4 linked regions of the Struthio camelus genome follow. The protein of the gene in region 2 purifies or fractionates together with the protein of the main gene of each other region. This does not show direct contact. Links are inferred from orthologs where the notes say so. Each region holds a gene or a part of one and is shown on either strand. Other genes may lie near its edges. The genes, in order: INTS2, PPP2CA, PPFIA1 and TIPRL.

Region 1 (7,072 bases), on a different chromosome or scaffold from region 2:
TCCCAGTTCATTTTGTGGTGCTGAATCAGTTGTATAACTTTATCATGAATATGCTGTGATCTTCATCTGAATTTTGAAAGACAAGAATGAGGAAAAGGGATATTTCACTGCAGGACTAAGTTATAAATTCTTCTCAGTGCAAGTTGTTTGTGATGGGGTATGAATCTTGTTACTTCCAGCAAATATTGCTTTGGCTTGTGAGAAGGGCATCTATAACCCTACTGTCTTTGATGCAATGACTCTGGGGGACTCTTTAGAATGATGATCAGAATGTGTATTATAACATTTTTAGTAGCAAAATTAACCATTTTTCCCCAGTCACAGTATTTGTGAAGAGTAATGAGCCATAGTACCCAGTCATGGTTAATGAATTTTAAAGCATGGAGATGAGAAGAAACAGGAGGAACAATAAGTTTCAACCTATGGCTTCAGAACATCAAGATGTTCTTGTATTGGATTATAGTACCTAGTATTCAAAAAATGCCTGCATCTCTTATTTATTGTAAGTTTTTAAATGTATAAATTGTCTTATATTTCTTAACCTCTTTTATAAAAATTTTCCTAGAAGGTTTATACTGCCTTCTTGCTTTAAAGCAATTGGTCTAAAATATATGTAATCGTCTTAATTAAAAGTTGCAGTAGGTTGCTTTTAGAGTATTATTTTTTTGTAAGGGGGTGGGTGGGGACAGTAAATTTGTATTGTCTTGATGTACAGTTTAATGGGGATAGAGGGGTTAATGTCCATACCATTGTGTGTGGGGGATTTACAGCTAAGCTGTAGTTGCAGAGTACATGTACAGTAATGAAGTTCACTGTGTTTATATAAAATTGAAAAGGTACCGGGTCTTACAGCATTTTATATCACACCTTTACAGAGTAACAATGGCAATATATAAGTGATATTGTAGGTGGTTTAACTTGTAGTGAGAATAAAATGAATAAACTCTTCAACTGAAGTTTGTGTTATGGTTCAGGGCTGTGGCTAGATTCTCAGATCTGTTTCCAGTAGACAAGTTTTACTATTGCAAGGATATCTATTGTGCATTGTTGTTACCTGGATATTCTTGGCACCGTGGTGACTGCACTATTTTCTTTCACGTTTGTGGCAAAACACAAATCTGAGTCGGAACACACAGACACAGAAAACTCTGACCTTATCCAAAGTCTCCTGCAAGGCTGAAATTTAGCCCAGCTCTAGCCATTTTACAAATGAAAAAAATAGTCAATCTTGACTTTAAGATTGGTGTGTGTTTAACTAAAATGTGGTGTATATAGATTCTCAGTGAATTCTGGTATTCAGACTTTATTCCACTAGTAAAAAGCAAAACACAACCCTGAATGTTTTCCTTTTTCATGTATTTTGGCACGGAGGTGAAGGTCTCGAGTATCAGTGCATGGCCTTCCCCTTATCCCCTTTTCAGACTCCGGCTGGGGCATGTGCCAAGGAGGCTTAGCCCTCCCTAAGGAAGGGTCTCGTGAGTTATAAGGCTTTTGTAAACCTCTCCCTCTATCTACAGTCGCCCTTTTTCCTCAGTAGTTTCCTTCCATTCTCTCAGCACATGCCAAATGTCTGATGCTGCTCTAAAATGGCCCCTACGGGTGCTGAGGAGCAACAGCATTTTTTTTTTTTTTCCTTTGGTTCCTCATCTTCTGACTGCCAGGGTAAAGACTTACTCCTGCAGTGCCCACGTGAGCCTGTTGAGAGAACCCATGCTAGTTTATCACCTGGGTCTCAGTACTGTTCATCTTGCCTGCTTAAATCTTGAAAGGAGCAAGTTTTAAGATACATTGGGGCACCCACTGTTAATCCTCTACAACGAAGAAATCACTTGTATTTACAAAACTTATTATGTTGGTGAAAATTATGTTTTGTAAATGCAAAATATTTGCCTGAGATCATTTTTCCTTGAATTGTGTATATGCAAAATTAGCGACTTTTTTTGTTTTTGTATAAAGAAGTTGTACAATTGGTGACAAAAATTTTCAGTAGTTTCTTCAGAAAAAACATGAGTGCAATCAGAAGTCAGCATATTTTGATATTAAAGGTAAAAACCTGGGTCTGTCCATTACTTTTTCTTGATATAATGATAATGTACTGCAGATTAAACAGCACACTTCTGTTTTAGAGCAGGTGTTTTCTTTCTCATTTGGCTGAGATTAAGGGGAAAAGTGCATCTAAAACTGGAGTTTTCAGAGCACGTGTCTTTTTTGTTTCGTTTTGTTAAATCTGACTTGTATCCATAAAGGTAAGTGAATCGGCTGCCTGAGCATTGGTATAACTGTACTCTGTTATCTGGACCACAACCTTCCCTGTGAAACTCCAACTGTGAAGTCTGCCTCTCCCCTCCCCCCTCCCCATGTCCCCAAATGCAGTTTAAGTAAACTGTCATATTGTAACCACTAGAAAAGATCAGGAGGGCCATTTTTGGAAGTGATGGTCACAGCCAGCAATGTGCATATCAAAACTGCCATCCCCATGGAGCCAGCTACTACATTGGGCGTGCTTTTTTGTTGGTTTCATTCACTTAGCCATTTTCCTCTTTTAAGGGCACATAATTAGTGATTTATGAATAAAATTGTCACAATCCAATAATTAGGGTTGTTTAGCAAGTACAAGCTTAATGTATTTGAACATTTCAGCCCTAGCTTCTCAAAATGGTTTTGCAAGAAAACATTGTTCCTGGCAGTGCTCTATTAAGAGGAAATAAACTTATACAGCTACTTACGTATGTTAGATAGCCAGTGAAAGATGCATCTGAGATCCTTCAGTTCAGATTTAAAAAAAAAAAAAAAAAAGTATTTTAATTTAGTTATACTGTGCTTAAGCCATGCAGTCATCTGGACTGTGACTTATACTGTTATTTGAATTAGGTTTCTGTAAGCATTGTTGCTAGACTGGCAGGCCACCAACTGTACTTGCAAACAACCCTCAAATTTTAAAGTAGCTGTAACATGTTAATCTTCCTAACGTTTCCGGAAATAAGTAAAAATAAATGAATTTATATTTAAATCCTCAGCTATGTTCTTACTTAGCTGTCAGTATGGCGCAGGTTACTGTATTTCTGTATTTACCTCCTATGGTAATTTTTAACTTCATGTGTTGCTATGAAGACTTGCAGATGTCTTTATTCAAGCACTATTTGTTAATACTGTAATATCAAAATATGTTACACTATTTTAAAGCTTTCAAAAATAAGAGTAAAATGTTTTTAAAATGCTATTGCATCATATAATTTGCTGCGTAACGGTATGGCACAGCATATCAGTCTGTTTTAATAGTAATGCTGCATAAACAATGTTTGGACTGGGTTTCTTTTGAGAATTTGTTTTCTGAATTAGGTGATAGCGTATGACACTACTGTCTTGACAACCTGCACTGGGGAAGGTTTTTTTTGTCCTTAATTAAAAGGATCCAGGACTATTCCGGGGTGGTGGTGTGGGGGGAGGAAGAGTGGTGGGGGCGCTGTGGGCGCTGTACATCCTGTTTTTTTAGCGGAGTAAAACTTAAATTTACAGCAAAACTGGATTTGGGACCTACCATAATCCTCAGGGTCACTTTTCAGGAAGTTACTCGTCTAGCTCTCGCTGTTCCCGAGTAAACTGGATGTCAGGAGCTGGCGGAGCCGGCTGCAGCCTGTCGCCTCGGTCCTGGACGCGCCCCCCCGCAGCCGGGTCGCGTTACCGGGGCCCTTCTTAAGTTCGCACACGGCGCTGACGGTTACTGGTCCGAGCCGTCGCCTTTATCGTGACAAAACGTGACTGAGGAACAAACGCTATTGCTGCCGAATGCCATAAACGCTGAGTTGTACAAATTGTGATTGAGGAAATGGAGAGAGAGAGAGAGAGAGAGAAAAGGTTTATACTTTTTAAAAAAAAATTTCAAATGGAATAAATTATTCATGAAGCCTTGCTTGCGCTGTCTCTTTATTTACGGCGGGGGCCGAGCAGACGTCCGGGGGAGGGGGGGGGCGCCGTCCCCTCCCCCCTCCCTTCAGAGCGGCCTTCCCGCCGGCGGCGCGCGCGCGCGCACCCGGCCGCCCAACGGCCGCCCGCCGCGGGGCCGACCTCACTTCCGGCGGTGACGCGGGCGGCGCGCGCCGGAAGGCGGCGGTGGCCGGCGGCCGTGGAGCGTGGCCGGTCGCCGCCGCGGGGCCGGGCGCCGCCATGGCGGAGTGCTCCGGCCTGCAGTTCGTGAGCCCCTACGCCTTCGAGGCCATGCAGAAGGTGGACGTGGTGCGGCTGGCGGCGCTGAGCGACCCCGAGCTGCGGCTGCTGCTGCCCTGCCTGGTGCGCATGGCGCTGTGCGCCCCCGCCGACCAGAGCCAGCGCTGGGCGCAGGACAAGAAGCTCATCCTGCGGCTCCTCTCGGGCGTGGAGGCCGTCAACTCCATCGTGGCCTTGCTCTCGGTGGACTTCCACGCCCTGGAGCAGGACGCCAGCAAGGAGCAGCAGCTGCGGTAACGGCGCGGCGGGCGCTGCCCCGGGAATTGCGGTCTGCCTTTAGCTGAGGAGGTGTCTGTGCTCGTCGGGCTCGTTTGTTTGTTCTTTAACGGTTGTCGTTGCGTTTCCGTTGTCTGTTAGACACAAGCTGGGAGGAGGCAGTGGAGAGAGCGTCTTGGTGTCGCAGCTCCAGCACGGTCTGACGCTGGAGTTTGAGCACAGTGATTCGCCTCGTCGGCTTCGTCTTGTGCTTAGTGAATTACTAGCAATTATGAATAAGGTAAAATTTCGCTTCCCCGTCGCTCGGCGTTTGTGAATTTTATATCCCTGAAAGCGAAGAACCAGAAAGCTGCAGGCGGGATGTGCTGAAATAACGCCAGGTTGCGTTGCTGGTGCTGCCGGTGCGTGTCAGGGCCGTTCTCCGGTCCGTAGCTGCTTCGCCGAGACTTAAACTCTGTCACGTAAACTCCTCGTGAACCCAGCTTCCCAGAGAAAGTCTTTCTTCCTCCCGGCAAGGAGGGCAATCTTTTCTTAACAGGCTCTGTACGTTCTATAACATGCTGCACTTAAATACAATGCGATGGCTTATAAGAGCAGAAATCATGTTTCAGGATGATGTTGTAGCTTTTCCTTCTGTCCTTTTTTTTTTTTTTTTTACTGCTATTGCAGTAATATGCACCACCACGTTTCTCACTTTTCTCTGTGTTTTATGTTCTTCTGTTAAACTTACCCTGTTTATAGACTTCTTAGTAAGCTGTTTTTCTGTTTTCCGGAAAGAAGCAACGATACCAGCGGTGTTTAATTATCTTTACTAGTAAATATTGCTTGTTCTAAGCATTTTTGCTTGCCTGTTCTGTTTATAGCTGTACATTTTTGACAGTTTTTAATACGTTCAATCTGTTGAATTCAAAGCTCTGAAAGTCTGACAGGTGCTGATTGAGTTATACAAATCACTTCATGAAACCTGTTCTGTGATGATGAACGTTGTCTTATAGGTGTCAGAATCAAACGGTGAGTTTTTTCTCAAATCGTCCGAGCTCTTCGAGAGTCCTGTCTATCTGGAGGAAGCAGCAGATGTTCTCTGCATTCTGCAAGCAGGTGTAGTGCTCTGTATTTATAGTGCTTTCCTTAATGCTGTTTTGCTTGTGACTTCGCTACTTACAAACGTAAAAAAAAAATTACCCTAACTTTTGGAGCTCTCCTAGCTGAATTAAGATTAATGTTGGATGTCTAGCTCTTTGGAAGAGGAATAGACCAAAGAGTAATCTTTCATTCGTTAACTTGAGCACGTTACATAAATTTATATTAAAAGCTACTGTTTTACAGTGACTTATGAGATCCTCTTTTTATCCAGAGCTGCCATCGCTGTTGCCCATAGTTGATGTAGCTGAAGCTCTGTTGCACGTTAAAAATGGAGCCTGGTTCCTGTGCCTCCTAGTGGCCAATGTTCCCGATAGTTTTAACGAGGGTGAGTTACAGTTTCTTCTTGCCAAGCTTTCTTTTTGTAAAGCTTTGAAATAATTTCCAGCAATCAAATTGATTCTAGGCTAAGCAGCATAAATATTTGAACTGAGGAGCGCTTGGCTTGTGAAATGCACTTTGGATGCATTTATACTTAGAGATGCTGAAAGGCCTCTCGTTCTCATCGCATTCACTACCTATTTCTGCAGCGTACTTCAGACTCATTGTGTGCCTGTTGCAGTTTTTCATCTGTAGGTCACCTTTATAAAGGCTGATTCAGACAGTGAATGATTGGGTCTAGGAACCTGGTCTGTCCTTGCTAATTGTCCTTGTCTCTCAGAGCGAGGCATGTTATGAGGTGAAAAATTCATACTGCCGTTGCCCATTTATTATCACTTATGTAGCAAGAAGACTTCAGTCTGCAGGGCTGCCAGGTGCACAGGTTGCGTTAGACAGAGTATGAGCAGTAATTGAATGATGCCTAAATCTGTAATGACCCTATAATTTCTCTGAGGAGAAACACCGTTTCCTTATTCTACTGATACAGCGTTGATCAACAGTTCTTCCCTGGCACAAGGTTCGTGTGGCTCAGTTAATAAATCACAGTCCGCTGAATGAAAGGGCTCGTCTTGTGTTTATATGTTTACGTGGCTTTCTGCTGGAAAGGCCAGATTTACTTAGACCTCCTCTCGAATGTTTAGTCTGTAGAGGTTTGATTAAGAACGGCGAGCGGCAGGATGAGGAAAGTGTTGGAGGCCGTCGTAGAACAGAAGCACTTCGTCACCTGTGTAAAATGAACCCTTCCCAAGCTTTAAGGGTCAGAGGCATGGTGGTAAGTCTGTAATTGTTCTATCACGAGACAACACGCAAATCATAATTGTGATCCTTATTGGAGCATTAAAAAACAAAAAAAAAAGATTGAGCTCGGCTATTTTGTCTAGGTGGAAGAGTGTCATCTACCAGGTCTTGGTGTTGCTTTGACCCTGGATCACACCAAAAATGAATCTTCAGATGATGGAGTGAGCGATCTGGTGTGTTTTGTGAGTGGTTTGCTACTTGGAACAAATGCTAAGGTTCGGACTTGGTTTGGAACTTTTATCCGAAATGGCCAACAGGTAGGTACGCTTTTGAATATTCGCTTTCAAAAACTATTTTTGTAAGCTGCTGTAAC
Region 2 (7,699 bases):
AATTCCGTATTTAGCATCGAAACGCCATAGCAACAGGCACTTCAGACATGCACTGATAGACAATTTAGAACTAGTAAGATATTTACAGACATAAATATAAGAAAACCAATTTAAGCATTCCTTACTCTACAGTGGTTAAACAATACGGCATTTACTTAGTCATATGATGCCTGAAATCAGGAATCTGTATAGTTTAAATGCTCACTGACGCCTCTTTTACTACATGGGAAACGTTAGCGCTACTGCCATAACTGATAAAATTACTACAATTGCTAATACACAGTCAGTGAGTTTCAGATTCATTTCAAAACACTGGAGTTTGTTAGCATTAAGGATTGCTTTGCAAAGAAGCTGCATAACCTACCAACTTGGTATCTGTAAATGTAAGTGTAATCAGCTTGATTAGTTACTCTTTTCCAAGAATGCCACAAATACGAAACACCTGTCACTGACTCAAGTGTTAAGATTGTGTACAGCGGTAAGGACAATACTTGACTCATGGCAACCACACCCAGACCTCCTTAGTTACGTATCACGCTCACAAAAGCCTGGCATATAGTCACATATTAAATACTAACTATTATTATTGTCATCTCACAACTTATGGTTTAATCTTATTATATCTCTGACATACTGACAAATCCCCAACTTATGCAACACAACAAGTATTCTTTTACCATTATTTCACCTCCTTTAAAGGTTCAGACAACTATCTGAGAAAGAAAAGGAACCACAATTCTCTAAACTATTGATTGTGGCTCTCGAGTAGGGGGAAGTTATGAGCTCTGACCTCTGATCCAAGTTTATAGATGTGAAACAATATGAGGATAAAATACAGAAGTAATTGTTTGGGATGGAGATGGGAACCAAAATTTCCCCCTCCTGTGTGAGTGTCCAAATAACCAAGCTACTGAATCCTGACTGTTCCTTTGCCGAGTCTTGAATTCTGTTCTGGTCAACAGCATGGTTTCAGCAGCAAGCAGGGAGTGATGATGATTCCCCCATCCCTTCTAAAGTAGCATTTATTCTAGTAGTTAAGAGCTATGGCTTTTGAATCTTTTCAAACCAAAAAAAGCTCATTTCTCAGTTAAGCACTCTAATACTAGGGTACTGTGAAACGAAGGTAGGTGTGGGAACCATCACGTTTCCTTTAAAAGGACAGCAGTGACCATTACCGCAATCTGTCAGGAGCCCTGCCTAATCTACGCATTAGCTGTGCTTTCCCCACACCTATCAGATAAAACCTTACAGGACTTTGGCTGTAGTTGCGCAAGCAAACCAGGTTAACAGTTTCCTGCTGCGGAAGTTTCATTTCTCCTCTCTCACCCATCTTTCCTAGTCCAGAAGCAGAGCCTGCTCCTGACAATGCAGCCCTACCTCCCCCGCCTCTTGTTTTTTGGGTGCTAAAATTGGCACTGATTATACCCTTTGAGGCTAGATCAACTATCCACCACATTGATCAATCACACTCAGACGGTCCAAGAGCTATAGTCGGCGCAAAAAGCTGCAGGGAAAGGATCTTTCCATTTTTGCACTTCTGAGGCTGTGGTTTGAGAAATCCACAGTAGCTGCAGAATCTCCTCCGCTAGAGATATGTAAGACTTAGTCGGCATATCCCTGGATAACCTAACCCAAGGCCCTGCTTCCAGCTAAAGGCTGGACTAATGACCTCCGGTGGTTTCTTCCAGATTAAACTTCTCTATGATTCCTGACCCCGTGCATCACTTCCTCATGCCACCTGAAACATTTATGTGGCTATATAATGAAGCAGGCAAGGATAAAGATGCAGCTTTCAACTAGATCAGGTTTTTGATCTTTTTTTTTGCTGGTAACAGACTGGGATGGTAATAAGACAGGATAGCATAGACATGAGACTGCCACCTTTAGTATCAGTGCCATCCTCTGTCAACTTAAAGTGACCGAGTAGGCTAGGGTGCCTACTTAAAAAGAGTTTAAACATCTCCTGGTTGGACAGCCGCTAAATACTTGTTTCTTCTCTGCAGCTCCTTTGAGCAGGAATGTTTTAGATCCTTCAACTCCGTATGCCTTGATTTCCCCACAGGAACTGGGTACAAAAGTATATTCCTATTCAGAAGCTGAGCGCTTACTGGCCTTATGTTATACATGTCAGCCATGCTGGCTAGCACACAGCTGGAGAGTATTCAACAAACATCAAAACTACATGAATTGATGGAGAACAAAACATTGGAAACACCTATCTTGAACAAAACAAATGAAACAGGAAAAAGAGAGTGTTTAAGCATTGGAGGCCTGCATGTACAGACAGTCATGCTCATGCAGCAATGGCATAACCATGCTAATCTGCATAACTGCAGAAGGAAATTAAGAAGCTTTCAATAGTAGAATATTCAGCTAGCTAAGCACTGCATAACAGCATCTTTAAGGTGTTCTGTACTATAACGTTTTGGGAACGTGTAAACGCAGATATAGCAAAAAGGAAGCATGCTAAAACAATCTGTGTTAGTGCAAATTATATCAATGGTATGTCCAAATGATTCTCGGAGATATAAAGCACTGATTTCTCAAGAAGAATCTCTGCTGCTTTTCACTTACTCTCATTTCACATTGCCTTTCTACTTCACCATGATCCTAGTCTTATCTGTCTGGTTTGAGGGCATCCTAGCAGATGTCCTCAAACTATGCAACATCATCACAAAATTTAATCTGTGAATTCATTAGCTTCATTTCTGCTACAATGGCTATAGGTAAGCAATTGTTTAATAATACATTAAAGAGTAATTGAGGTTAACAGATATTTTACTGCTTTTTCAGACCCTGCTACAGCTAGTTCACAAACACTTCAATCTCGCTACCCGTGCACCATACGTATTCTCCCATTTTCGTCTTGCCCTTGGCTTCTGAATTTGTTCAGAGGGAGTAATGCTTTCTCTTCTCTTTCACAGAAACCCTAGAATATTGTGGATGTGGTTGAAAGTAAATACTTGCATATTTCTATGTGTTATGTTTTTTTTTTTAAATAGTAAGTAGAAGAATTTTGTAGGCAGAAGCATAACTAATTGCAAGATTGTCACTAACAGGAATACAGAGAGATGTGTGCTACTGAAGTTCCCCCAAGAATTCCACTGATCTCAGCGGAAAATACAGAGCTAAATATACAAAATATAGTGTTAAGACATTTTACCATTCCAGAAGGCCAACAGTTATTAGAGAAAATGAATTTTAACTTGGCAAGTTACACAGAAAATAACGTTACTGATTTATTTTCTTTGCATTTATTTGTTCAAAATTATTTTTTGCATATTAACAAAAGATGCGCTACAAAGTAAATTCTTGCAACCTATCATTTTCCAATGAACAACGCTTTCATTCTATAGCTTTTCATTCTACAGTACAAAACTAAGGGCATTTGAAGAGGCAAACCTATGGAAAAATGCCTGAACATTTTGTAAAATGTTTTTGCCCACATTAGCAAACACAACACACGAGTTTGACTTGGACTTGTCTGAGAGCCCTGTCTGTGAGGTAATTCTGACAAGAAACGGAGGCTGTCACGTGGAAACATGCATTCTTTTCCTCTTACTAGTTGTTCGTTTGCTTCAATAGCAGGCTAGGAATTTAAGTTTAGACTCTGTATGAGGCAATCTCTGACTGAGACATTTAACACTTATCAGCTGGAAACAGGCTTTGTCAGCCTGACAATTTCAAAGGGGACATTTTGTCTGAACTTTGATCCATTCAATTAGGTGACGATCAGATTTGTGTAGTGACCTTTTCATGTCTTATGAGAGTTATTTTGGAAAAATCTTGCAGTAATTGGGACTGCAGTTATTAAAGACGCAGATTACAGCACAAAATATATTTTACCACTTATTATAGAACTTGTTACTTTCATTCCTTTTTAGTGTATGTTACTTGTATATGATTTATCTTACTGCTGTCTTTTCCTTAAGACAAAAAGTGTCCATGTACACTACAAAGATTAACCTTAAGGTCCAACACTAGTTTCCTGTATTCTGCTGAAAACTTATTTTCCACTTCACTCACGTCTCTCTAACAAGCGGTCCTAACCTCATTAATTTTCCCAAAGCTCTTTAGCATGAAGTGTTCTAAAGGAAAGAAACGCAACATAGCTTCGGCGATGCCTTTTCCATCAAAGCACTGCCCGGTGGCAAATCCGGCCTGCTATTTAACGTTTATTTTTAAACTGAAATATTTATCGCTAAGTACCTAACGCCAGCAAGCGCGCCCCGCTTGTCCGCTGCCGGAGCGCCGCAGCCCGAGTGCTGAGGGCTGCCCAGGGCAGCGCGGAGAAGCCCTGTGGAGAGAGAGGACTCGATTACAGCCGCGCAGCCCCTCTCCCCGGCGGACTTCCAGCAGCCTCGAGGCTGCGAGCCGCCGCCGGGGACGAACGGCCAACCGGCCTCCCTCCCCCCCTCGGGGGACCCGCACTGAGGCGGCGAGCCGGGCACCGGCAGGCACCGCCGCTCCCTCACGCTCCGCCACCAGCCCAGACGACTCCGAGCGGCCGCCACGCCTCACACAACGGGCAGGCGGGAAAGACCCCGCCCCGCCGGCCCGTCCCGCGCATGCGCCAGCAGCCCCTCTTCTCCCGCTCTCCCGCCCGCCCTCGCTCGCAGAGCGCAAGTGCCGGCACCTCCCCGCCCCCTTTGTTTCCTGCCGCGCGGAGCTGCGCAAGCGCAGATGCGCCTCGGCGCCGCCGCCGTCCCGCCGGTCTGTCGGCTCCTAGCCGGCCGGCGGCAGCGCGCATGCGCGGTCCCGCCCGGCTGCTGCGCATGGGCCGTGGCCTCCCCTGGCGTCTCCCTCCCCCTCCCCGGAGTGGAAGCCGAGGCGGTGACGTCAGGAGCGGCGGCCATTACACGGTCTGGTGCGAGGGAGCGAGCGGCAGAGCTGCTGCTGCGGAGAGCCCCGCTCCGGCCGCGGGACTCGCAGCGCTTCGGGCCGCTCCCGCACCCTCTGCGCGTCCTGCCGGGTCGTAGCCGCCGCCGCTGTTCGGAGCCGGTCGCGGGGGCCTCCGAGGCGGTGCGGCAGGAGGAGGAGGAGGAGGAGGAGGCGGCGGCGGCGGCGGCGAGCGGGCGTGCTGCGGGATGGAGGAGAAGGTCTTCACCAAGGAGCTCGACCAGTGGGTGGAGCAGCTCAACGAGTGCAAGCAGCTCTCCGAGGGGCAGGTGAAGAGCCTCTGCGAGAAGGTGAGAGGCGGCGGGGGGCGACGCCGGTCCCCGCCGGCGGCTGTGGGCAGGCGGTGGGGGGAGAGCGGGGGGGGGGGCGAGCCTCTGCGCCAAGGCGGGGCCGGGGCGGCCGGAGTAGGTGCTGCCGGGCGGGGGTGGCGCTACTCCGCCGAGTAGGCGGCGTGGGGGGGGGGGGGGGGTTGCGGGCGGGACGCGGCTCGCCCGGCGGGGAAGGGGGAGCGGGGCAGCGGGCCGGCGCCTGCGGGCAGCTCCGGAGCGCCCGGCCGGAGCGCGACCCTCGTGCGGAGGATAAGCGGGTCGGGGGCGCTGGGCGGGCGGATCTGCGCCCCCTCTCGCTCCGCTCGGAGACTGGCTCCGCCTCCCGCCTTTTCATCGCCTCCTAAAATGGCGCCGCCGCCGCCGGGATGCTGGGCGAGAGACCCCCCGAGGGCGGCCGCCATCCCGCCACCCGGGCGGGAAACGGGGACGGAGGCGGCTTCCCGCCCGCCGCTCCGTAACGCGGGGAGAATCGGCGCAGCCGGCCCCCGTGACACAGTTCAACCTCGCCAAGCGGGCCGGAGAAGCGTGGGTTATCCCGATGGGAATAAAGCTTAGGGTAGTCGGTTTGTAATTACAGGGGGTAAAAGCTGCCGCTTGGACGTAAGGCTTCGGGTTTTTTTTTGATATGAATAAGCACAGGCTCATCTATAACTGTAATGGAAGGGTAGTTCAGCTTCGGGACGTGGTTTCTCTGAAGAAAATTCTGGGCTCTGTGAAATGCACAGAACAGGCGGTTCCGATCACGTGTAGCTATTTATTTTTGTGGTGACTGATAAAAACATTGAGATTTGGGTGTTAGAAGACAGGGTTCATTGGTGTGCTTGTAACTTAGAGGGGTCCTAAAATCAGCCCAGGATAAATCCCCCTTTGACAAAGTGGGTAAATTAAGTACTTGCTTGTATAAGCGTTCATAAATTGATGAAACTGTGATGACAGATGCACTTGTAATTGCTTTTTCTATTTACTGAAAACTTATAAGCTAACATCAGGTGTCGGCAGCTGTTATTTATTTTGATCTTTATTTAAAAGAGTTGTTGTCGTGTGTTGTGCTTGATGAATTTGACTGTGGACCTGAAGGAGGGTTTCCCATGCATGAAAGCCTGTTTGTTTCTCCAGTAATACCCTCTGCTCTAAAAAAAGACGTTACCTATCTCTTCCAGCGTTGTTTTTTTGATTGCTGCCAGGCCATGTTCTTGGCCAGGTGTGAATAAGTAGGTCTTTTGGGTATGTGGAAACACTTAATACAGCTTTGAGTAAAAATAGGTTTCGTTCTAGGAATGGAAATTAAAGGAAAAATCTGTTCTAGTTTCATCAAACTGCATTTTCCAATAGAATTTTAATCCTGAATGTAATTAAAACTTAATAGCTGAAGACTCTTTTCAGTTACCGGAGGTTTTATGTGTTCATATATTTCTAGATAGAAGGAAGTAATATTTGTGGGCTCTTTGGGAGCTAGAAGTTAAGGAATATGGCAAGTCATTGATGTACTCTATTCTAAAGCCTGTGTACCAGCTGTGAGAAGTAATGAAAATATTTCAAATTTGGCATTGCATCTTCACATACTGTAGCATGCTGTTTTAGATGCAAATTATTTCCGGAAGGCAGTCTATAAACTTATTGAAGAACTTACTTTTTTTGAGCAGGCAGGTTCTTACTTGAGTCCAAATTTTAGTTGACTAATATTCCAACTACTTAAAATTGTTACCCTTAGATACAGTTTGTGTATTTTAAATTGTGTTGCAAATAAGTAGCAATATAGATGTCTAATTATTTTTCACTTTCCTCTTGAGGATCGTGGTCTGATTTCTTCCTCATGCTGGTTTTTCAAGAGGCAAGTATTCCGTTTACCACTAGTTATAAGCTGATGCTGATACAGGTTCCTGAACGCTGGTTTAGTGGGTATTTTTTGTAAGATTGTATAATAACTTGCAGAAGCATGAGGCATCTGCAAAAAGCTTCAAATTTACTGGGGGCTTTGGGTAGATGAGGAAAGGCATAGTATTTGAAATTCCCAACAAAAAATACTATTCATCATTGTTGAGCGAAGAGAACAGGCTGAGTTTTTATTTTTCCCGGTGAAGAATGGAAATCAAGTGTATTTCTAGATAAATACATAATGCTTGTCACCAAAATAAATTATTGACATCAGGTAGGAAAAAGGGCCTAACCTGAAGTATTTCTGATAGACTCGAGACATCGAGTCAGATGCTTAGACTGTAAGGAAGCCTTTAGTTAGGCTGGAAAAAAAAGAATGAATGTTAAAGTGACTAGATTTGTGGGAATTGCATACGTGGATAAAAGGAAAGGTTACAGAAAGTTATCTGTGCAACTGCTGTTGTCCTCTAAGATGAGAGATCACAAGGGTGTATGAGGTATATTTAAATGATATTTTGCAGGTAGAAGCAAGCTTGTTTTACCTCCAGGTGGGTGGATTTGAGCCATCTCCAAACCAGAGGTAGTATTTCTTCAAG
Region 3 (7,426 bases), on a different chromosome or scaffold from region 2:
TACTGTCCTATATAATACTTTTAGTAGCACAGGCTGTATGTTAGTTTACTGCCTTCCTGGTAGAAAGCTCCTCCAGAAGCTAATCATTAGTAACTCCTATCAAACACAAATCCATACTCCTAAAAGGCACTAAGCGAGGTAACCAAAACGCTCAGATTTCTGTACTGCCACGGCAACACAGCACGTATTCACAAGGTAGCAGTCTTAAACTTCCCAGTTTTTGAATCTAAGTCCATAACAGTATCAGAATGGTTTGCTTTCTCTCCAACAGCTTATATGTAATCCTTGAGCATATGAATGAATAAGGCAGATAGAAACTGCATTTAAAAAAAAAATTACGAGAGTGGTAGAAGAAAGTCCAACAAGTTCTATTACACAAAAGGATGTAGATACACCTTAACGTTCAAGCTGCCCCTAAGCCAAAGAAACACCAAAAACCAGGAAAGCATACAGGAGGGAAAGGGCTGGTCTTTGGTTGGTCTCTACTTTTGCATGTCTCAAAGTAAGCAACAACAAATACCTTCAGGAAAATACTAGGCTAGATTGATCTTCCCCTGACATAACCTGACTTTTAAGTAAATTGAATAAAGAAAAAAACAAAAACAAAATGACACAGAAAAAAATTATCACCAGATACCCTCCTTTGAAAATGTCCATACCTGTGGAAGTGCAGTATTGAGCTGTCTCTGCAAGGAATCTCTCTCATGACCAACTTCATGTAGCTTGCCCTGGGTCAACGCTAGCGTCTCCTGAGTTTCTCTTAGCGTTTCCAGAAGGCGATCCCTTTCTTCCAACATGGACACCATTAACTGCTCAAAATGGGAATCAGCATCTGACTGTAACGGGGAACCTGAACCATGGCCTCCATTTCCCCCAGAGGGAATCTCTGCCTCACTGATGGTTGGCATCACCTCACACATCATCTTGAAATAAAACAAGAGAAATAAAAACCATAAGTCTCAGTCAAACAAATCTAAACATGATAAGCAAAGGAACTTGGGATACTACCCATAACACCAATTTAGCTTTCCCAATGATAGCATCAGCAAAGGTTGCCAACACCTTTGTGCTTGCCACTGTTTCATTAAGACTGCAGGAGAAAAGGTATACAACCAATTTAATCACTTTATAATGAGAATCTTGTGACTTCTTGCAAAATCAGATTTCTACAGCTACATTTCAAACTATGATCTCATTTTAACAGATTTATATTTTTGTTAAGAGGAAACTGTTGCTGAGGTCTTTGAAAAAGAAAGATAAAGCAAGCAGCAAGACACAAAAATTATATACTTAAACTTGTTACTGATTATATTGCATATTTTGAGAATCATTATCTGTCTTCTCCAACTCCTACCATACACAAAGAAGGTATTCTAAACAACTACTTTGAGCTTATGCTAGGAGCAGAACCTCTATGGTAAATTTGATGCATGTAAATTAACAGTAAATCCAGATTCTCCAATTCAAGAGAGAAACATGTAAAAGAAGATAAAAGCCCTCAACAGTAATAAAATAATAAGAGAAAGTAAGATGTCGTTATTAAGTGGTACCAGCTGTCACTGTTGATAACAACAGTAAATGTAAGTGAAAATAATTGAAGTCACAGTATGAACACAGTTAACAGTACAAATTTAATTACATTACTACTGTTAAACTGGATGGATGCTTTAAAGACCCCAAGCAGATCACCACAGGAGACAGAAACTTTTTAAAAAGCATAGGAAAAAAAATCACACATGTGATTACTGCACATTCTCACTGAACCTTCTGAAGGTCCTGAAGACCTCTGAAGGTCTCCAGACAGCCTCTCTCAACAACACAAACCTACGAGACCCTAAAACAGATAAGAAAAAAGTTCTCTCACATCCTCCCAGGTACCATAACGTTTGTTCTCAGCCTTTAAGTTCACATTGATATCTGCACATTTTAAAGAACAATTAAACTTATTCAGAGCATTACCGTGGGACTACACCTCTGAATCTCTTGAAAAACTTCAAAAAGTCTGAAATGCTGCAACATTTTTATGCATGATTACCAAAAGGCCTGTATTTTCGACACCACTACGTTATTTACCTTGTTCAATGAAATAAAAAGGCTTGGAAAACAGGCGTCAAGTTTCCTGCAGTACCAGTTTTTCTGTTTTTAGTCTTCTGTTATCCCCCAAAACTTTTCAGATTGCAAACTATCCATTCAGCTCTAGCCCAACGTCTATGTAATTGAAATACTCCATACACACGAAAATGAATAAACCTGCGGGGCAAAGAGCTGATCCAGTAAAAAGCAGCAGCAACTTCAGCTAACTACTCAAGTCCCCAGAACAGAGAACGTGAAAATAAACCTTTTCAGCTTCCCATCTCTCTATTACTGGCCCATAGTTCCTGCAACAGCTGGAATCACGTGCAGAGAAAAAAAAATACTCTATGCCGCTGGTGCAACAAGCTTCAATAGTTCATTGCTCTGAAATTCCACTCAGGTCACAGTCACTTTATTGAACAGAAAAAGGACAGGACGGAACAACGACTTGAGTTTTCTTGCAAAGGATTTGGAAAAGCCTCCTTTTTTTCCTCCTCTATTAATTCCAACAGGAGGCTCTCCTTTCAGTTTCCTGGGCCTTAGCTCAAACATTTATAATCCCAAAAGCGAGGAGCTGATACCGGTTTGAAAGGCGAGCAGAAGGGAGACTCGCAGCTTCGCCTGCATTACTCCTCCAGCCGCTTTACAGGCGCACTCTGGCCCCGGCCAGTCCCACCGACGATGCTGCGGAATTTCGATATCCAGCCGAGAGGGATGAAAGAAACCAGCCGGGAAACGGAGGCAGGCGGCGCAGGAGGCGGCAGGGCCCAGGAGCCACGGGCAAAACCGGCAGCTCAAGGCCGGCTCTCGACGCCTCTCTGCCCTGCGGAGGCCCCGGCAAACAAAGATGCACCGAGACGGCGAGACAGGGCTCCCTGCTCCCGCGGGAGCGCCGCGCCGCGCCGGGCCTCCCTGCGCGGCGGCGCAGCCCCGCTCCGCGGCAGCCCGCGCAGGGCCGGCTCGGGCCGCCGCAGCGGCGAGCGCGGCCGCGGAGGCCCCGCGCCCAGCGGGGCCCTCGCTAGGGAGCGGCGGGGCCGCGCGCGTCGCCGCGAGCCGGGCCCGGCTCCGCCCGCCGCCACCTCCGCGGCCGCGGCGGCCGGCGAAGGGCTGGCCGAGACCGGCTGGTGCCGCTGCTCCGCGGCGGCGGCCTGCGTCCGCCGGTGCCGCTGCGGCCTCAGGGGGCGGCGCAGGCCCCGCGCGCTCCGAGCGCCCCTTCACGGCCGCCAGCCGGACCCCGAGCCCGACCCGCCGCCGGCCGCGCCAGCCCCGGCCGCCGCCGCCAGCCCCCGCGCCGCCGCCGCCTCCCGCTTCTCCCGGCGCCCTCTGCGGTCCTGCATAAATTACTCCGGGGCCCACAATGCCCCGCGCGGGGGTCGGGCGCGCCTACCTTCCCGCCCCTGCCGTCGTCCGTGGCCGCGGGTTCGAGCCCCGCTCCCCCCCGGTGCCCTGCCAGCGATGCTCCCGCCGCCCGCGGCTGTCAACCCGCGAGGAGGGCCGGGCCGGGCCGCGCCGCGCCGCGCCGCGCCGCCCGCCTCCGCGCAGGGAGGCACGCTCGCTGAGGCCTCAGCAGCAAGGGCGCCCGGCGCTCAAGGGCGCTGTGTGTGCCAGTGTTGCCCCGTAATTACACGCGGGGACGGCTGGCGAAGCCTCCTTCCTCGGGCTCTGCGTGTCCCGGCACGGCCCTGCCAGGCAGGTCTGCCCGCTCCTGGCAGCGGCCACGCAGCCCGCGGCGGGCATCGCCCACTCCCTCCGCCTTGGCCTCAGCCTTGGCCGCAGCCAGGCCCCGGGCCTGGGCCTGGGCCTACCCCCCCGAGCCACAGCCGGGCCCCTCGGCCTGCGCTCTCCACCTTCATTCAAAAAAATTAGCTAGCGCTCACACAGCTATGGGGTGATGGTTTTAACCAATAATCCTGTATGACTAAGGGCTCTGGCATGAGTAAAGGGGCTAGAGGAGGAACGGCCTGTATGGGTCTCCTGTCCGCGCAAAGCGGCAGATGAAACGGCGCGAGGAGCTTTCTCCCACCACCGTTGGTACGACGTTTGCGCGCGGTCCCAGGGGCTGGTCCCGGCTAGGAAGGTTTAACCTGTGGGGCAGGACTAGGAGAAAAGCAGGTGAGCCGCGCTGGCCGAGCCTGTAGCACCGACACAGTTACACCAGCGAAAGGGGGTTTCACTGGTACAGCTTACTCCCCACAGGAAATGGGGTTTGGCTACACTGACAAAAGAGCCTCCCCCGCCCCGCTCCCCCAGTTTAAAACTGTTTCCAAACAGCATATAAATACTTTCCGCTTGCACGTACATAGCTTTCACTCTGTTCCAGGTTCATCATGTTTGTAAGGCTTTTTCACACAACGCAGTAGGGTTTTAATCTGTACGCAAAGCTTAGAAAAGTACTCTCTGTACCCTTTGTAAAAAGTTTGTGTTACTACTTTAAAGCGTCACTGAATAAAGCATTTGCATTTTAGACCCCGTTCTTTCTTTTATAAATGCAAAGCTCCAATAAGCGTCAGGGGCCGGTTACACAGTTGCAGGTCATGCAAAAAAATAACAGTCCCTGAACTGAAGCTCATGCAGTTTTATGACTGAGTTATGTGACACCTAATTTGTAAACACAACGTAGAGGCACCTAGAACTGACTAGAGTTATTAATAAGTCACTCTTCCTTCCCCCAGGCAGGAAAACCTTTACAATTATGAACTTAATACATTGTGCTCTGTATTTGCCTTTGGTATTTGAGCCCTAGGGTGAATTCAGATCAGATTTTTAAGTTTTTTCTCTAGAACCATGAGATCTAGATTTTTTTTTTCTCTTGAAGTGTCTGATGTAATCACATGACTCCGGAAGCCAGGACTTTAAGGAAAAAGCCAAATATTAGGAGGCACATTCAAATCATGAGTTCTACCAAATACTGGCTAGCAGAGATTCAATGCCAAATAATACACATCTGAACTGTAATTGTATAAAATACCGAGATCTGACTTTTCAATACAGAAACAGTAGCAAAAAAGTTAAAATCAATTGTGTCATTCCGGAGGAAAGCCCCCTAATGATATGGAATGACCTGTGTTGTCAAATAGTCTCAATACAGCGCAGTGCTATTCCTTATAAGATTGGATATATTTATGCTGATATATTATATGCTTATTAGCTTTGATTTTAACATAACCTTAAAGTGATCGTAGGACAGGTGGAAGGAAGAGGCTTCCGGGCTTCAACCTGTTATTTTGCCCACACTGAGGCTTTCTTTCACATAATTGATATGTAGAACTAGCGACAGAATTTGGGCCGTGGTTATGAAGAACAGCAACAGATTTCTGAGGTAAAATAAAGGTAATTACTTAGTGCTTAAGACTAGGCCCAGAAGATTACCTTGAAAATAATCGGCTCTTTTATTTCTAAGCACATTTCTACAGAGCCTGCTTCTATTTCATTGTCCCAAATGCTCTGTTTGTCTTTGCATTAGTAAAATCATCTCCTATAACTCCTATGCAATTCATGGACAAGTATATTGCTTATACTGTAAGTCCTGATTTTGTTTGCTTTTTTAAAGAAAACAAAAATGCTCTGCTAACTGGATCGTCTCTTTGAAAAGTTAAGCAAAGCACTGGTAAGAATATTTAAATTCTTTCTACGTACGTGAAAAACTAACACATTTTTCTGAGCACAGTCAGAAACACGTGGAAGAGTCGGGGAGTGATTTCCCTAAATCTCAGACTAGGAGTTTGGACTATTTTTCCCTTCCTCTATAATGCAATATTCAAGAAGAAAATACAAAGGAATAAGTAAGTCAAATTTTTATCAGTCTGATAAAGTGATACCTAAAAAACTGGATAGCAATAAGTTAAAAAAATCAAATAAATTCCTTTTCCTCATTATTAAAAAATAAACAAAAACTATGGTAATTTTCTGGAAGATTAAAACTTTTTGCTCTACTGTCTTCATTTTGTACTGCAAGTCTAGTATCAAAGTGATAGCCTTGCTTAATTTTTAGTAGAAAGCCCTCAATATTGAAAATTAGTGATTCCATTGTGAAATCATTTATGAATAATAGCCAAGGGACCAGCTTTTTAAATAATGCCCCACAGGCCATTAGTCTTTTCATCTGTAGTTGCAGAGCAGCCATTTCAGAAATTATGTCCACTGATCTACTCTCGAGTTCAAACAGTTTCTAGATTTCATGCTTACACTTGCATGAAAATTTTCTTTGAACCACAGAAGAACATTTCATGTTAATTCTGAGGGGAGGAAAAACACATTTTACAAACACGCTAGTGGAGTGATAAACTATTGCTAAAAAGATCTCATTTTCCTGTCATTCTCCAAATGTTACTAGATACGGACCCGTACTGTTGGACAATTGTGCCTGAACTATTGCATGGTGAATAATGGAACTATTAAATATAACTGTCATGCAGGCATAACACTTAAAGTATGTTAAATTAAGTTACCATCAACTGATTTTGATAGGTATTTCGTAGGCTTCTTTATTACCAGAAAGGCAAAGCTGTTCCCCTGATAACAAGCAGAGTAGGATTTCATCCAGGCCAAAGCTACAATTGCTTCAATTAATTCAGAAATTTAGCTGTTCAGAAGGGAACAATTTGTAGGATTGGGATCATAATTATTTGTGGAAAAGAAACCAAAAAATTGCAGTACCTGCGAATTTCAGAAGATTTTCCAGTATTTTGGGGAATCTTGTTGCTACTAATTGCCAGCTAAATGAACAGTTCCAGCAGAGTGGCAGATATCCACATTTCAGAGTCAGCCGAGGCAATTGGTTCCCAGTGCTGAAGCCTGCTGCATTCCAGGGTCGCTGCTGGGTACTAAGACTACAGCTATAGACAGTTATCCATGACAGCCATGATGCTTATCACATTGCTCCTAAGTTTTGCAGAGTAGCACAGTCTCTTATTCCCCATAGCTTCTCCTTTTTAACCTCTCCCCCCATCCCTCCCACATCATATTACCCAGTAAGACACACAACACAAAGCACGTCCCTCACTTCTGACCCATAACATGACACTGTGCTGCACTGCGGACCTCGTATGCTGTACCTAAGCTGAGATCTGAATTTTTGTACCCTGTGAATATGTTCCTCTTACGGGTCAGCTGCGGCAGTGAGGGCAGCGGAGCCATGAGATGCCTTTACTGATAAGGAACTGCCGTTATTTTATCTTCATCCTTTGAGAGTCAGAGTTCAAATGGGCTTAGACTCTTTGACCTGGCTCTGCCTGACAAACGTTGCAACTCCGGCCGTCCTTCCCGATCACAACGCAGGTGGACAGTGCGTGCCAAAATCCCCGTCTTTTGTCATGACTACATTTGTCATACCAGTTCTGTCAATGAAGAGGAC
Region 4 (7,239 bases), on a different chromosome or scaffold from region 2:
GAGCTGATCAGCATGTAGAGCAGTGCTGAAAAGTTGCACCAAACAACTCCAAAGATCCATTCCCGCCTGATGGAGCTGGTGACAACAAAAGGTAGTACCAGTACAGAGAGGAGAAAGTTGGAGAGGGTCAGGCTGAACACAAACTTGTTGCTCAAAGTGAGAAGGTAAGACTTCCGGTAGAGGGTGACGACAATCACCAGGTTGCCCAAACAGATGAAAATGGCAATGACAATTATAGCAATAGACTCGGTGACTCTGACAGCCCCGTTTTCCAGCGTGGTAAGGTTCCTCAGGCCCTTCACATTGATGAGGGAGGAGTTGCTGCTCATTGTCAGAGCGCGCAGAGCTGGAGCAGCCAAGACATGCTGAGGAGCTAGAAGCAGAACAACAACACTCAGAGACATTCAGGCAAGATTTCCTCACCTCCTCTCCAAAGATCAAGGGCTCTTTTACTCGCATTAATTAAACTTTACCTGTAGGAGACAGCAAATCGTTTTGGATGGGAAAACAAAGGGGCAGGAAATTGCCCATAGGCACGCCAAAGAGGTCAATGATAGAGTTAAATCTAGAAGAGGGGAGAAACTGTCTGAAAGACAGAAAGAGTTGGATGGAGAGGGACGGAGGAAGGAAGAAATAAAGAAGAAAATTAAAACATTTAATATTTTTGTAGGGATCTTACTTGCTTCTAAGCACTGATCAGCCATACTTACCAGCTGTACATCTCACTCAGTCCCTTCATCTAGGCTGTGAAGAAACAGGAAGAATGTAACAATTAGTCTTTGTTTCTCTCAATTTTAAAAAAGTCTTTTTTTTTCCTGTCTGCTTATCCCGACATTGCATTCTGCCTAGGTAGCAACTGCTATTCAGTGGTCTGTGGATGCCTGGCTAGTCATACCCTGCTGACTCTTAACGGTTGCTAGGTAACATTCAAAGAATCTGGGAGCACTGCAACATATTCTCCTAATGTCACTTCTCCATGTACATAATCACCTTAGCTACCACAGTGATCACTGCTCAACACCCATCCCCCTGCCTCATAACCTCAGTTTTGTGAGAGCTCAGTATTCCCCCCGGTTCTGCAGCAGCCTTCTGCCTGCTGTCTACCACAAGCATTCCTAATAGCTTAATTCAATCTTTCACCCATCTGCAGACCAGCACACTGAAAAAACACCAAAAATGCATGTGTGCAAACCGAACAACCAAAAAAAGCGTGCAACAAATAAAACGAAGTTCATCTTAACATTTCTTGGAAATCAGCGGCCCACTGAGGGTATCTCGGCTTTGCCCATCCATTGTTCCCAAATCACCAGGAGTACTGAAGAACCTCTTCCATCCGTGAGGTTGTTATGGCCTTAAGCAACACTGTCAGGCTGCAGAGATGTATTTTTTTCAATTTTTATCTGTGCCTTCCTAAGAGCCTAATTGAAGACACTACTGAGCCACGCTTCGTAAAATCTAGCTTAACTCTTCTCTAGTGAAACTGCCGACTGTGCGTAATAGCGTTTCTCTTAAAGTTTATCTTTAAAATATGGCTGCAGCTCACTTGTGAGTCTTTCCAACACCTTTTAAAGAGGCGCGGATTCTAGAAAGGAGGCTATCCGAGAGTGGCCACAGCCTCCAGCAACACCCAGGTCACGCGCTCCTACCCTTCCCCTCAGAGTTGCATCTAATCCTGCTTTACCCAAAGGCGGGGTGGGGGGATGCCCAGCAAACGTGCCCATCAGCCAGGAGGAAACAGTTAAGCAGAACGGCCAAAGGGCCTGGCTCTGTGAGCCCCAGCTCAGACAGGGGCAATTGCTTGGTGGGACAAGCAGGGGCTGGGGCGGGGGGGTGTCTCTTTGCCCAGGGCCAGCACTGCTACCAGTGCCAACCGCACACTGGCCACTGGGCTGGACGGCCGGCCACCGGCTGAACCCCTCTCCGGGAGAGAAAGCAGCAGGGAGCAGGCATGCTGACACACACGCACGACAGAAAGCCAGCGCTGCTTCCCTGATTAAAACCATGTGCGGGGTTGCGGCACCAGCTGGCGAGAAAATGGGGGGGGGGGGGCCGCGCCGAGCGGGGCACTACTTTGTTTAGCGCAGCCCGCCAGGGTTAGGCGAGCAGAGAGCGAGGCAACATCTCCGCGGAGCCCTACCGAGGCGAGGGCCGCCGCCGCGGGGCCCGCGGGATGCCGCAGGGCCGGCAGGCAGGGCAGGTGGCGGGAAGCAGCCCCGACTCCGGGCAGGGCTCCTCACGGCCCCCTCCGCCGCTGCCGGGAGGCTCCGGGAAAAAGCCTCCATTTTACCCCCTCCAACGACAACAACGGGCCGAGGTGGGGAGGGGGAGGGGAAGAGCACCCTCCACCGGGCCGGGCATCCCTCAGCCCGCCTCGTCTCGCCCGCCCCCTCGGCGGAGAGCGGGGTCCCCGCCCCGCTGCCACCGTAACGGCCGCTCCCCTCCCCTCCCCTCCCCTCCCCCCCTCGCCAAACCCCGTAACGGCCGCCGCAACGGCCGCTCCCCGCCCCGTAACGGCCGTTGGCCCGGGCGCGCGCGCCCGCTGCCCGGCAACGCACTCACCGCCCCGCCGTGCCGCGCCCGCCGCCGCCGCCGCCAGGGCGGGACGTTTCGGGTTACAGCGCCCCGGGCCCCCCGCAACCGCCGCCGGCGGGAGAGAGGCCCCGAGTCGCGGCCCGACCCTCCCCCCGCCATGCCCAAGCCCCTGCCTCCTCCCCGCCGCGGCGGCCCCCTCCCTTCGCCTTCCCCTCCCCTCCCGCTCCGCCTCCCTCCATTTTCTCTCTGCCCCCGTCCCTTCTGTCCGGGCTTCCCCGTCACCTTCGGGAGCGCTTCCTCCTCGGCGGACTCTCCCCTCGGCCCCATCCCGCTCTGCGGCTGGGGCCGCAGGCGGCAGCCAGCGGGGCCGCTCTTACCGCCGTAAGCCCCGGTGGGCAGCAGTCTGTGGGCGGGGAGCGCCCGCACCCCGGCCCGTTTGAACACCCACCGTCAGGAGTCGGTTAGACGAGCTGCCTCTCCAAAAACGGGTCGGGTCCGGCTGACCTCAGCTCGTCCCTCCGGCACCACTTGCTCTGAATCAACTGTATCTGCGTTTGGGGAGAGAGCGGCCTTCTAGCAGGGCCGTTTATCTGCTGTGCTGCCTTGGGAAAGCAACACAAATGCCCTGCGAAAGGGGGACAGTTACCAGCTACCGCGCAGGTTGGTCCTAAGGCACTCGAATCAAGTCTGTGCTATGTCAGACCTCTTTACAGCCTTCATCCATTTTATTTAAACCCTCGGAGGTTCAGTCGGAAGGAATCAATTTTTACACAGATCAGCAGATGAAATGACTTGCCCAAGCACACAGAACAAGTAAGTGGCACAAAGGGGGACACGTTCCTAGACTTCCCAGACCATAAGAGACTTTTAAAAGAAATACAGGTGTCTTACCAGGGTAAATTTGGGGGGGGGTGCCTTTTTTCAGGAAGCAAGGCACAGACAGTGCAGCGTAAAGGACCAAGGGTAATTAAATACCATTTTTGTGCATTCCTAAGTCTGAGCTTCTCCAAATCCTGGCAAGGCCGTTAGTGCTCCACTGTGACTGCTCTGACTAAGTCACAGCTTTGCTGTGTAATTTAGAACTTTTTGTGGCTCTGTTAATTTAGAACAGATAATAGTTCTTAGATAGATATAGTTCTTTGCATTACATGTGGCATGTTGCCATGGCTGTTCTCTTGGCTTGCCATGACTCTACGGTCTTCCAAAAGACCAAGTAGGACTATCATTCATGCTCACATGCTACAGCAATTTCCTGGGGAGTTAGTCTGTCCTTTTGATGACACACAAACACAACATGAGCATCCAGCCATCCACGCTGAAACGATAGAAGATTTTAATCCGCTCTGTCACTCCTTTCCTACAGGATTTTAGGTTCACAATACTATCATATTTTGTTTGACGTTCTTTAAAGATCATCTTTGGACTGCAATCAGGAGCAGCTCAACCCAGCGCAGGAGACTGCAGGCGTACGTACGTATGTAACACACACAAAACGCAAGGTGTGCGTCTGCAGCAGCAAAAGACAACTAGTGACGTTTCAGTCGGCGGCTGAAGCTGGGCTTCGCGGGACGCTTACCTGAGCTCGCTGCCCGCCCGCGCCTAACCATCTGCCCGGCTGCACTCCGCAGCCACCCGCCGCCCCCCGGCGGCGATGCAGGTCCCCGCGAGCACGGGGCGAAGCTCCCGCCCCCGTCATGGCGCCCAGCCCACTGTCACGTGACACCCCACCCCTCCCCGCCTGCAGCGCCTTCCGGGGCTGCGCGCGCAGCAGCCCGGAACCGGAAGTTGACGGAGGTGTTAGCGGCGTCGTTACCGTTAGTGGCGTCCGGCTGGAGTGGAGCCGTCGCCTCCTCCGTCCCCGGCTGCCTTCTCCTCGGCGGGGCCACATCTCCCCCACCCACCCCCCCCCGCTGCCGCCATGCACCCCGTTTTCCAGAGCAGCCGCCGTGACTTCACTTTCGGGCCCTGGAAGCTGAGCGCTGCCCAGACGCACATCATGAAGTCAGCGCAGGCCGAGAGGTGAGGCGGGCCGGGGCGGCGGGGAGCCCGCCGGGACCTCGCTCCCCGCAGGCGAGGCGCTTGCGGAGCTGTGGCCTAGGAGATAAATAATGCTCCTTTGACGGGGGAAGGCGGGCCTTTGCTCCCACCAGCAACTCCTTCTTTTTTTTTTTTTTTCCTTCGTTTTCTCTCCTTCTGCCAGTGTAAGCTTGCTGTTTTGGCTGGAGAAGTGGGAATGGTTTGGTTTTCAAATCTGACGGTTTTCAGGTTTTCTGTTTTGTTTTGTTGTGATTGCTAGCGCCGTTCTGTTGGAAATCTGGGTTTTTGTGAGCTGAAGCCTGCTGCCTATAAGCTTATTTTCCTTAGTTGCTTTTTAAGAATAATTAAGGACCCTTTAAATGCAGCCCATAGATTTTCATAAGCTATTTTATGCTAATGGCTTTTTAAAGATAGTGAATTTCATTAAAAATTAACTGTTCGCCCTCTTAGTGTGGTAGTTATTTCAGTTGTGGTAAAGCAGTTGGAAAAATGCTCCTGTCAGCATCAAGTACTTGAAGTCAGATTTGCTAATGTAGATCTGAACAGCTCAGCTATTTAGAGTCATAGCTGAGCTTACGGGCAGCTGAATTCGTCAGATCCTTCTTTGTTTCTGTTTTTGTGATAAATATATGGAGATTCTTTTAATCTTGTTAAATGTGTTTTGGTTCATGCTCATGTTTTCTGAGGTTAGGACTGTTTGCTAAAGTCTAATCTCCTGAAGCTTTACACTTTTTTACATAAAACAGCAATGTATTCACGTTTTTGTTTTAAGTGGATATGTGCCTCGAAACAGATAAAAATGACATTCCTTTCTTCATCTTTATCCTATACTTAGTGGATAAAATAATCTTCACTGAATGCTTTTAACTAATGATATTGTAGTTCTTGTAGTTAAATGAGAGGAAGCTTGAATCTTATGTTTTAGTCATTCTCCCGTAAAGAGGACTCGACATCCAGTTAAGCTATAGCTAGGCTCTATTTTTACAGTAGCTCCTATTTTTCAGATATGTTTGTGAAGACTTCTCTTGCAAGATGCTAGGTCTTAAAAATTAAGATCTATGCTCTTACATTGAGGAGGATGTTAACTGGTCATTGTCTCTAAACTAGAGTTAGAACTGAGCTGCCAATCTAGAAGCCAGATTATCTACTGTACTCCTCTTCTGAACTGTTCAGTTTCTTTTACTGTAGCTGTTTTAAAATAAACAGTTATGTCAGTAACTTTTTTTTTTCCTGCAGCAGTTCTCTTCGTTCTTTTCAATGTTTTTCTGGGACACTTTGATTTTTCAGAATGTATTCATAAAGGCAAAAAAGTAAAGATGGAAAAGTCACAAGACAGAAATAACAGAAAAGACTTTGCAGGCTAGGGAATATAAATCCAACATTAGCTGTTTGCATGCGGACCTTGGAACTTGGCCTGAGAGCTCAGAAAACAAACAGTTCCTCTGCCTCAAATCTGAAGAGACACTGCCACTACCCGGTTGCAGTGTTTCTAATCGGTTTCCTTTTGTAATGTAATTTCTTTTAGTGTTTTTCCTTGCTTTTTATTACTTAGAGAACATAGTTATTATCTATAGGAGTTTCATTTCTAGTAAACGTGTGTCACAAAAAAGGCTGAGCAACATCTATAGAAAGGTGAAGGATTAAATACGCCATAGCTGCAGAACCCCTTCGTGTCCTAGACTTGGTTTTTGCAGATCAAAGGGGCTGCACTGGATGAAATGGAAAGTTAGTAATTTTATGCTGCCTTCTCTGGGAAAACGAGACCTGCCTTCTGCAGGTCTACGAATCTGCTATTTTTACTTCAGATTGGTCAGCGTGATGTTCTTTTGTATGCAGTGGTACAGAAATAACACTTTTATGCAGAATGCTTTATTATTTATCATTAGGAAAGTTGTGAGATGGAATTTTTTTAATCCTCGTATTTAGATGCGTTTCCTAAAGTTTTCTTTTCTTCAGATTTCATGTTCTTTTTAACCTTGCAGTGAGTAAAGTAGGTAGAGGAGGGGAGGAAATGCTAGAAGTGCATGAAGCCTTCTGGTGAATGCGGTCAGTGTAGATATCAAGTGGCAGGTATGTATACATAAGAGTAAAAACTGATTTAAAAAAAAAAAAGTGAAACGGGTTGGTTTGGGATTTTCTGCAAGGATCACGTGTACTCTGTATAGTACTCTGTTTAGCTGGGTCTGTGGCTATGTGGCTGTGGCTTTCACGTTTAGAGGTTGCCAGTGCCAGTACATATTCTCTATGAGCTCGGGAAGGTAGTGATTCGAGCACGGTAATATCTTCTGCACTTCATCTCTAATGTATTCTGCTAGGGTTGTTTTCAGCCTCTTTTTGTAGGCTTCTAAAGATGGAGGCATGGACCACTGTGTAGCGAATTTCAACTTGCTTTTTCCTTAAACTTCTTTTCGGGCACCAGCCAAAGTAAGTAATGGACTGTCCAGGGTTTTCTCCCCTGGTTGAAAGCTGTTAAATTATACTACTTGGATATTTTTGATTTCCCCACGTGTGGGGCTTTTGTACAGGACTGACAAAGAGGGAAAGATTTAGGAATACTTTTATATTGGAAAAGGCATTTCTGATCAGTGGTTCTGCAATGCACGTCACGTTTTTAAATGGGGAAAATAACAAAGTTTTGTACAACGTATTGATGATACTGCTTTCAAATTA

Evidence for each region.
Region 1: the proteins of PPP2CA (region 2) and INTS2 purify together in Homo sapiens (affinity purification with mass spectrometry; 4 studies listed by BioGRID and IntAct, with this or other methods). This does not show direct contact. The link is inferred for Struthio camelus from reciprocal best matches to the Homo sapiens genes PPP2CA and INTS2.
Region 3: the proteins of PPP2CA (region 2) and PPFIA1 purify together in Homo sapiens (affinity purification with mass spectrometry; 6 studies listed by BioGRID and IntAct, with this or other methods). This does not show direct contact. The link is inferred for Struthio camelus from reciprocal best matches to the Homo sapiens genes PPP2CA and PPFIA1.
Region 4: the proteins of PPP2CA (region 2) and TIPRL purify together in Homo sapiens (co-immunoprecipitation; 4 studies listed by BioGRID and IntAct, with this or other methods). This does not show direct contact. The link is inferred for Struthio camelus from reciprocal best matches to the Homo sapiens genes PPP2CA and TIPRL.

The regions. Positions count from the first base shown.
Region 1 is NC_090957.1:18,831,620-18,838,691, forward strand, and holds the start of INTS2 (integrator complex subunit 2), read left to right. Parts: upstream 1-4,068; 5' UTR 4,069-4,164; coding exon 4,165-4,457; intron 4,458-4,581; coding exon 4,582-4,720; intron 4,721-5,435; coding exon 5,436-5,538; intron 5,539-5,794; coding exon 5,795-5,908; intron 5,909-6,602; coding exon 6,603-6,733; intron 6,734-6,842; coding exon 6,843-7,016; intron 7,017-7,072. Other genes in the region: MED13 (mediator of RNA polymerase II transcription subunit 13), read left to right, coding at 1-59. UniProt on the Homo sapiens protein: Component of the integrator complex, a multiprotein complex that terminates RNA polymerase II (Pol II) transcription in the promoter-proximal region of genes.
Region 2 is NC_090954.1:3,901,031-3,908,729, reverse strand, and holds the start of PPP2CA (serine/threonine-protein phosphatase 2A catalytic subunit alpha isoform), read left to right. Parts: upstream 1-4,675; 5' UTR 4,676-5,087; coding exon 5,088-5,189; intron 5,190-7,699. UniProt on the Homo sapiens protein: Catalytic subunit of protein phosphatase 2A (PP2A), a serine/threonine phosphatase involved in the regulation of a wide variety of enzymes, signal transduction pathways, and cellular events.
Region 3 is NC_090946.1:32,987,610-32,995,035, reverse strand, and holds the start of PPFIA1 (liprin-alpha-1), read right to left. Parts: upstream 3,006-7,426; 5' UTR 2,074-3,005; intron 924-2,073; coding exon 660-923; intron 1-659. UniProt on the Homo sapiens protein: May regulate the disassembly of focal adhesions. May localize receptor-like tyrosine phosphatases type 2A at specific sites on the plasma membrane, possibly regulating their interaction with the extracellular environment and their association with substrates.
Region 4 is NC_090942.1:97,612,411-97,619,649, reverse strand, and holds the start of TIPRL (TIP41-like protein), read left to right. Parts: upstream 1-4,221; 5' UTR 4,222-4,450; coding exon 4,451-4,551; intron 4,552-7,239. Other genes in the region: GPR161 (G-protein coupled receptor 161), read right to left, coding at 1-404. UniProt on the Homo sapiens protein: May be a allosteric regulator of serine/threonine-protein phosphatase 2A (PP2A). Isoform 1 inhibits catalytic activity of the PP2A(D) core complex in vitro. The PP2A(C):TIPRL complex does not show phosphatase activity.